Arabidopsis thaliana: one gene and its partner. The protein of the gene in region 1 interacts with the protein of each later gene in a pairwise test. Each region holds a gene or a part of one and is shown on either strand. Other genes may lie near its edges.

The links.
Region 2: the proteins of CNGC18 (region 1) and BETA-TIP interact in a protein complementation assay, tested with the Arabidopsis thaliana proteins (one large-scale study listed by BioGRID).

What each region holds. Positions count from the first base shown.
Region 1 is NC_003076.8:4,807,559-4,812,746, forward strand, and holds CNGC18 (cyclic nucleotide-gated channel 18), read right to left. Parts: upstream 3,536-5,188; 5' UTR 3,340-3,535; coding exon 2,875-3,339; intron 2,714-2,874; coding exon 2,501-2,713; intron 2,417-2,500; coding exon 2,106-2,416; intron 2,030-2,105; coding exon 1,918-2,029; intron 1,815-1,917; coding exon 1,578-1,814; intron 1,493-1,577; coding exon 710-1,492; 3' UTR 533-709; downstream 1-532. Other genes in the region: AT5G14860 (UDP-Glycosyltransferase superfamily protein), read left to right, coding at 10-201. UniProt on the Arabidopsis thaliana protein: Cyclic nucleotide-gated ion channel required for directional pollen tube growth into the transmitting tract. Acts as a Ca(2+)-permeable divalent cation-selective channel inhibited by either lanthanum or gadolinium.
Region 2 is NC_003070.9:6,128,034-6,132,175, reverse strand, and holds BETA-TIP (beta-tonoplast intrinsic protein), read right to left. Parts: upstream 2,152-4,142; 5' UTR 1,968-2,151; coding exon 1,826-1,967; intron 1,526-1,825; coding exon 1,260-1,525; intron 1,130-1,259; coding exon 734-1,129; 3' UTR 549-733; downstream 1-548. Other genes in the region: AT1G17820 (testis-expressed sequence 2-like protein (DUF2404)), read left to right, coding at 1-425; ENODL22 (early nodulin-like protein 22), read right to left, coding at 2,785-2,996, 3,138-3,348. UniProt on the Arabidopsis thaliana protein: Aquaporins facilitate the transport of water and small neutral solutes across cell membranes.

The sequences.
Region 1 (5,188 bases):
ACTATTTAGGTTAAACAATTGATGGAGGGAGAGATGGGGAAGACAACGATGAAGAATGTAAAAGAGTATGCGAAAATGGCGAAAAAAGCTATGGCTCAAGGGACTGGTTCGTCTTGGAAGAGTTTGGATTCGCTTCTGGAAGAGCTTTGTAAGAGTAGAGAGCCAGACGGTGTTAATAAGTTGTCAAGTTCTGATGCTTAGAGAGATTAAGGATTGGATAACAAAACGGCTTCGTACCTAATTTTAGTCATTAAATATGTTAGGTTTGTTGAAAAGTTGGTCCATTCTTCTCAATTGGATATGAATGACTAATTTGGAGTTCTAATTCTTGGTTTTGGTCTTATAGTTTCAAAAAATTTCAATTGCATTCAGTGGTTGCTTTATGAGATTTTTGCTATCTTTGAGGTTAATATTGGCTGGTCAATCCGAAGAAGCTATCAACACCTTAGTGTTCTTCTGAAAGACTTAAAAATGAGTTTGTATGCAAAAGTAGTATCTACTATGAGAAGAAATCAGACTATATAACATTGAGACAGTTTAAGAACAATGTATTTTTACTCTACACTCGTTTTCTATATCTAACATCCTCAAACCGAAACGAAAAGAAAAGAAAAATTACAAGTTGAAATAATTAAGGGAGTTTCCTAACTATTTACCATCTAAAACCAAACAGTTCACACAAAAGTTTTTTGCCCATAATGACTACACTTTAAACGTCTTCTTTATCTATAGAGAAATCAGGCTCATCTGGTTTGAATAGTTGAGGCATCTTCAAACTGGTGGAAGATCCATCTTTCTTACCAGTACTACTACTTGAAGCCTTTTGATTTGTTCCTCTTCTCGTGTTCGCCGCAAATTTAGATGCTAAGATCGTTGCTCCCAGATTTGTGTTGTCCATTGATCCGCCTTCCTCGTCACTTCCATAGTAATACTCTCTAGTTTCTTCGTCTTCTTCATTGTAACCTGTTTCATCCGGGTAATAGTATCCGCTACTCTCGTGAAGGCTGAGCTCTTTCGCAAGCTTTCTTCGCTTGTATCTTCTCCATGCAGATTGGACAAAACATGCTCCCCATGCTCTCCATTGATGTGAGTAGTACCTGAAAGCGTGTTGAAGCTTTTTGCTTTGAAGACGTTTGAACTGATGAGCAACAAACTTAAGATCCTCTGCGCTTAATGCAAAGGCTTCTACTTCAGAGAGGGCACGGACGCTTCGTGTTGAAGACGGAAGATTGAGTGTAGAGTTTGGCATTAAGGCCCATGTAAGAAGTTCTTCCCCACAGAAATCGCCAGGTCGTAGAGTAGTGGAGTTGAAGAAACCAGATCTTCCTCCATTTGTTGTTGAGCTCTCTATTTGTCCTCGGATCACAAATAGCATCTCATTCACCGGATCACCTTCACGGAATATGTATGTCCCGGCCGTGCTTAAAGATGAGACAAGGCATCCGCATATAGCATCAAGAAGTTGATCATCCATTTGAGAGAAGAACGGGACCTGCACTTACCACAACAATGTGACTTCTGAATTGAAAAACAATCAAATCCATAACAGTTTTTGATGACTGAGTTGATGTATGTACCCGGCGAACAAGGGAGAGACAAAGATGACGTTGGATTTCACGGCGTAAATCTGTAGGTAATGAATGGAGGATTGATTCTTCATCGACACCTCTGGTTGCAAGCCATTTGTATTGGACAAATCTTCGGACACGTTCTTGAAGCTCTGGAGGTAGTTGACGATGTCTCATCCATTCTTCAGTGTCTCTTCTCTTAACTCTCCATTCCTCAACTCTTACTGACATCGATTGCAGAGAAGACTTTCCACCAAATTAAAAATCATGAAGTCTATTGTTAGAAAGACAAAAAAATGTCTCTGTATTGAAAAGTTTTGCAGAGTGATGCATAAGCTCTGAATCTTACTTGCATGTTACCAATCAGGAGTGTGAAGAGAATCAACCCAAAAATACAAATTGTTATACAGAACAAGGTCTCGCCAAGGTATACACTTGTGGTTATATTCTGTCCATAAGAACTGTGAAACAAAACCTTTATTAAAACCAAAGGAGGACAATTTAAGCAGATACTGGTTAGATAAAAGGTTGTCATACCTTAGATTTCTTAAACCCCACCAAAGACAATACAAGTACTTGGACACAAAATCTGTTGTAGCAACTTGAGTGGTAAAGGCTTCAGCAAACATTCCGAATTTGAAATTGGTAGTGCTGCTTGTAGCATCACAATGAGAAAGGACCTGAGTAACGTTCTGCCAATACTGGCGCTCTGGTTGTTCTAAACTCTTGCAATCCAAGAAGCTAGGAAGACAATCCAAAACTCTCAAAGCGTTGTCTTTCTTGCATACGTTGGACCAGCACGAAAACTGCCGCCCGATTGATGACAGATACCACATTGCTCCTAACACCTGCCCACAAATAGAGATTCTTAGCAACTTAAAACTGAAGAAACCTAAAGATTTGAAAAAACACACAAGATAAAGAAAACTTACGTGACTAGCAAGGATGTACAATAGGAGGTTGTATGCAGCTCCTGCCCAAGCAGTCTTGGCGATAAACCCGGTTGTTTTGATAATCCTTTGGTTGAGTGGGAATATGATGAATGATCTTGGAATGTATTGAACAAGAACGATAAGTGCGAGAGTGCTATTGGCATGATTAGCAGTTCCATTTGTGGCCGCTGGAATTACTAGCCAAATAACAAGCTGAGATCAAAAGATAGTCAGAAACAAAGCATGAGGCTCCCAAAATATCTCTGTTCTTTAATCTTCTAGCTACCGCCTAACGATTTTTGAACATTGATCTTAGCTAATCGTAATCCATATCATTGCTTTCACATTCAAAATAAGAGCAAAATCTTAAGAACCTGAGGAAGGGGAAGCATGGCGGCGACATCAATGAGGAAATCTGTCTTCAAGTATCTCATAGCAATCTCTCTAGAATCCATAACAAGCTCACCGCGACCAAAAACACGAGAACTCCTCGCGACGAACGCAGTTCTGAATTTCATGAAAATGTGCAAGAGGTGGAAGATATCGGCGACTGTACGGAAGAAAGTGACAGTAGCGGCGAGGCTGATGTCGATGGAGAGACACGCCGGACCACCGACGTAAGGGACGTAGAAATAGAAAGGATCGAGGAAGAGAGCGAGGATTGAGGTAATGAGAAAGACGTGGTTCCAATAGGTGACGATGTTGCTGTCCGGGTCCAGGATCTGATGCCGCCATAGGACGCTGAATTGGCTACCGTCAGATCCTCGATTTGAGGCGGCGGTGGAGGCGGAGGTTATGGTCTCCGGGAGGAGGCAGCGGAGAGACCGGATTTTATTCATCTTCCATGGCGGATTCCGGTGTTAAATCGGATTCCGCATTAACACAGAGAGAGATTGAGATTGATGGACAGAGAGGCTAGGTGGTTGCGTCGTGTGATTTTTTGTTTTTTTGGGTTTTTGCATTTTGTTTTTGATGATTATGGAAGAAGGAGAGGATTTCTCGCGGGAAAACTGAGAGAAGGGCCATGGAAATAGGGGGAAGGGTAGTTTTTGAAAATATGATGGGAGAATGAGGGTATTTACGGAATGTTATAGTTGCGGGTCTCGTTTGTTTATGCTGTTTTTGTGTTCTCAAAACAGCACACGTTTTGCATCTCAAAACTTCAATCGACACAATATCTACTGTTCTTAGTTGTTGGACCCACCGGCCCAATAGTTATAGATCGGCCCAATAGTTATTTTTTTCTACTTTTTTTCTATGAAAATCAAAGGGATATATACTATATATGCTTTAGGATTTTAAAATTACACATTATAATGTATACAATTGCTATGATCATTTCTATTGATAAACTAATAATGTTTTTAGTAGTTTTAACTTAAAGTCCGGTTTAATATTGTTTAGTTCAATTGTTCAAAGAATAAAAAAAAAAATTATAATTAATTCGTAAAACCATGATAAGATTAGTTAAAATATCTAATTCGTTATGAGGTTCATTAGAATTTATTTAAGTGAATTATTGAAGTTTTATGAGCTACATTTATTATATTTTGTCAACACATTAAACCCGTAATTCAATTATACTGTCTTTTGTAGTATTTCCGTTTTTGACATCAGTTTAACAAATTGTCTTACATAATTCATTTGTTGTTGTTATGTACTATTAAAAGTATATAGAAGCACGCGTACCAAACATTCTGTGACAATATGTGGTAGTGGGAAGATAGTGTACATGCTTGTTGACACCATCCATAAGATAGTGTACCTATAAAATAACAAAAAGGGAATAGAAATCCTTAGAAACAATTATGCGAATATAAAAGGGATAATAAGAAGTGAGAATAATAAAATGAATACTGAAATTAAAAATTACGTCACGGAAAAATGATGTTTATCCACACAAAAAGAACAACAACTTCCATCATATCATATAGAGGGACATACTAACTTTTCCACTTCCAAAAAATCACACTTATGCGTAATTGTTTTCTCTAACAATAATGACGTATTTTAGTCCTTCAAATTTTAGTACTCCATCATTTTCCGATTAGACACAAAGTAGTAATTTCAATATAAAAAATTAATAACAAGCTTTTATAAATGATTATGATAACTTATACTAACATATGTGACAATATTGTTTTCTCTATGCTTGTTAAACGTAATTAAGAAACAATGATGTTAATTACTCCAACTAATTCATGGATCTAGAAATACGATGTTGGTTAAACATTATTATCGACTAATTTATTACTTCGTTAATGGCTGCTATTAAGTATGACCACGTGTGGCAGATTTGAGATGTTTAGCGATCTTTAAATATAGAATCCGACGGGATCCAATTCTCCTCTTTTTTTTTTATTCCACTTTGCCACTGTGATTATATAATAAGTATGATTAATTAAGAGATTTACATTCTATTGATTTACTTTATTATTTTATTCATGTGGAGTAGACTATACGACAACTACTTTATCGTTACTTTTTAATTTTATTTTTTAGTGAAAATTTGCTAGTCAAGTTTAGAAAATTCAAAATAGCATTTCACTTTTATATGCACGATTGATTTCGTTGCTTATATTAAGATAAGGAAAACAAATGTTACTCTTCCTAAAAAAATTGTTCTTTGAGAATACAATTTACGTGTTCCTCTTTTCAATAAAGTCGCTGGTGTTTATGAAACACACA
Region 2 (4,142 bases), on another chromosome or scaffold:
AAATAGGGACATTGGCTTCTTCCTCCTGTGCTCAGTCTGAGCAAGTGCAGAAAGCGGCCACTGCTTTCCAGAAACAGAATACTGAAGCAGAAGCTATTATGTCTACGCCATTGTCAAACTCCACAACTGTAACAATAGAGAATGATAAATCCTTGGAAGAACTGAAAACTCCACTACTGGTACCCAGCAGCAGTAACAAGCAGGAGACGAACTCAAGAGGGAGTAGCAGAGAGGTTTCTGCTGTTCAGTCACCATCTAGGTCTGTAGCTTCAAGCGAAGAAGATGATTCAAGGGGGAAAAAACAGGGAAGAAGAGCAAGAATGTTGGATCTTGGGAAGAAAATGGGGGAGAAATTGGAGGAGAAGAGGCGTCACATGGAGGAGAAGAGTAGACAGATTGTTGAAAAGATGAGAGGACCTTCTTAACATGAGAAGGAAGAAGCTTTTGCAGGTTTCAGATGCAAAAACTGATTTATAGAAACAGAGGAAGTTAGGCATTGTTACATATGTACAGAGATGTGAGAGAAAGCCATAGATGTCCCCATATTTATCCGATCATTGAAAATCTTTATTATTCTGTAAGATATACAATACAAGAAAACAGATTTTGGTGTGGACTCAATTATACATAGGAAATGGCAGGAAAACAAAACAAGTAAAGAGACAAACAACACAAGCAAACACAGAGACTATTTATACAAAGAGAGAACCCTCTACATGAAGACTGCTCCGGTCTAGTAATCTTCCGGAGCCAATGGTTGGTGGGTACTGTGGTGAGGAGGTTCGTTCACGCTGGGGATGATCATGTACTCATAGATCAGTGCGGCGAGTGCACCACCAATGAACGGTCCAACCCAATAGATCCAATGGTTACTCCACCTCCATCCCACTAATGCTGGACCAAAGGCTCTAGCCGGATTCATAGAGGCTCCATCGAAAGGTCCTCCCACCAAAATGTTTGCCCCAACTATGAGCCCGATGGCTAGTGGCGCTATGATCCCAATACTCCCCCTCTTTGGATCGATTGCGGTCGAGTAGACAACATAAACCAAAGCAAATGTAAGTATGATCTCCATCAGTAGCCCATGAAGCTCACTAACTCCTGATGCTACATGGAAACCTACTGGTCTCTGCATCACAGAGAATCACATTCATTCATGAGCATATATTTACAGAGATATATACAAAGTTCTTGGTTCAACACAAAACTGTACCAAAAAGACAATAGTAATATATAGAGATTGATGAGAAGTAATATACCAAGCCATTAGTGGCAAGCCTCAACAAGAGACAAGCGAGGATAGCACCTATAAGCTGAGCAACCCAATAGTAGATAGCTCGAATGACCGAGATCCTGCCTCCGATTAGAGCAGCAAAAGTGACAGCGGGGTTGACGTGGCCACCAGAGACATTGATGGCTGCAGAAACAGCCGCGAACAAGGCCAATGCATGAGCTAACGCCACCAGAACTAACCCTCCAGGCGTGTTTGTCCCCGTGTGAGCCGCCGTGTCCCAATACAACTTGTCTGTCCAATAACACATATAACATAGTTCATATCACACATGCATGCATGATTATGCATAGTTCCAACGATAACATTCACTATAACTAAATTCAAAGGAAGTCTTATATATTCATTCCTTATTAAAACAAATTCTAAAATTGATTATATAAATAAGTTTGTGTAGGAGCTATACTACTAGAGTACTAGTGTTTGTTTTGACTAATACTCTCTCAAGTAAAGATGCTAACAGTATATAGCTGAAAATGTATATATTTTTGGGGGGATATTCCCTATGACCCTATGTATGTATAAACTACTAACCTAGAGCGAGGATTGAGCCTTCTCCAGCAAAGACGAAGACGAACGTGGAAAGAAACTCAGCCAAAGTGGCTCTAATGGAGTCCGGGTGAGTCGCCTCGTCAGCTCTCCCGAATCCATATGCTCTTCTAGCAGATGTAGCCATATATAACCCTAATTTAAGTGAGAGGATCAAACCTTAATGGATAAAGAAGAAGGAAGAAAAGGCAAGAGAAGAAGACTTGAAGAGAGAGAGCTTAAAAGAAGCAAAGTGGAAGCAATTAGGAGACAGATGTGATATGAGAGTGTCTGAAGCTGAACACGTGGATCCTGTTCGTGTCTATCTATTCCTTGATCTTACCTGATCATTCAATCTGGACAGTTCCTTTATTAAGATTCAATATATACATAACAATGGTACTGTGTAAATGTGTATGTATACTACTATCCATGCTGTGACTATATATCTATGCATGTGTGCCAAGTGGATCAAGTCACAATTCTCTGAATCTTGATCCGGTTTCTGTTTTCCTCGTCATTTATTTTGTCTTTCCATGTGAGATCGTAGAGTCAAAATATCGATCCCATGATATTTATTACAAGTTTTTGGTAAGAACGAATATTATGAAAGAAAAAAAAGAGAGACTAAAACTTGCTTTAGTTTGATAATTTAAGACAGATTCAATCTAAGAACTTGTTATAAATATTTCACTTTTGTTGATTACAAAGAACGAGATTCTACATCATTAGATTTTATTTTAGAACAGAAAATATATAACCTAAGAATATTTACGTTTTGAGCACATAAACTAGATATCATTAGATTATTTATAAAGTGAAAAGCTACTAATTAAAACGCAAATGAATTTTAATAAGATATTTATTAATCTAACATTTTAAACTGTTACAAATAACTCCAACACTACGTACGAAAACACTAATCATTCCACTTATCATTGTTATAATAAGTTGCTTCATTTAATTTATCTTGGAGCCAATGCTTTGATGGCCATTTTTAAACCGGTGGTACAATCCTCGGGAGTATATGTTCCGATGAAATAATTATAACCGTAATTAAGCTGGATCTTATCGTCTCCGGACGAATATTCTATCGCTCCAACGTTCGCTTCACAAGTTTCATAACCAGTTCGGTTTACCACAATCAAATTAAATCTCTGATAATCGTATTTGAATTCTGCAATGTATCACCATGAATATACCAATATAAATTTATTGTCTTAGCAGATTAAAGTTAAGCCAATATTAAAGTATGATGGATATGGTTTATCAATCACACTACCGTACCAAGATTTTTTTTAAGATCATTGATACATACCGAGAATATCACCAGCATAAAAGGTTTTGCCTCGTGCCCAAGTGTCCATCGGAACAACCGGATCCCAACCATCGTCGCCTCCCACAATGTAGGTGGTCGGTCTCCGGGCATAGGTCACGGCGTTGGCTAGAAACAAGCACAACACTGTCATGACAATAGCTATTGGAACCGTAACCGCCACATAAGAAACGTGTCCAGATGATTGAGCCATTTGTGTTAATAGGTCAAAGGTTTTAGTTTTGTGAATTGTTCAACACCTAATTATTAATATATATATATATATATAGACTATTCTTGAATTTGAAAAAGATCAATACATTTCCATGCAATGTATACCTGGTTATGGAAGAGCTTTTTGGTCAATGGGTGCATGGTTTTAATTTGGTGAACTAGTAATAAGACTTTATATATACGTATGACTATTTTTATCAGTTGCCAGAAATAGAAACAAATTCAATAAATTCGTAGATTTCCTTTTGAATTGACTTGATTGAGTCATGCTAGCTTGCGGTTATGGAAGAAATGTAAATATTGAAAATGATAGTGTTGTCATATCATCATATGAATGAATATCATATTATATAGTACACCTTGTATATTTTTGAAAAAAATAATTCTAGATAGAGATAATACGAATTGGTTTGCAGTTAGACGTCACGTAAAAGGAACATTTACGAAGTACTACTAACGCATAAACGGAGAAGGCATCGAGTCGTACATTTAAACCAAATGGATCGGAGGATTTAATAGAGGAGCTTTGGTCCAAAGGGCTAGTCGAAACAGAGGATGTAGTTCTTTGGAGAGGTAAAGATGATCGATTTCAGGCCACATTCAACACCAAAGACACATGGGAAGCAACACGGGAGCAAAAACCAAATAAGGAAGGTATGAAGGTATCTGGTTCTCGCACGCCACACCAAAATACTCTTTTAATTTCTAATTTGGCTAATAACTCATAACCGTTTAACTACAAGAGATAGATTGTTTACTTGGAATGTAAGGATT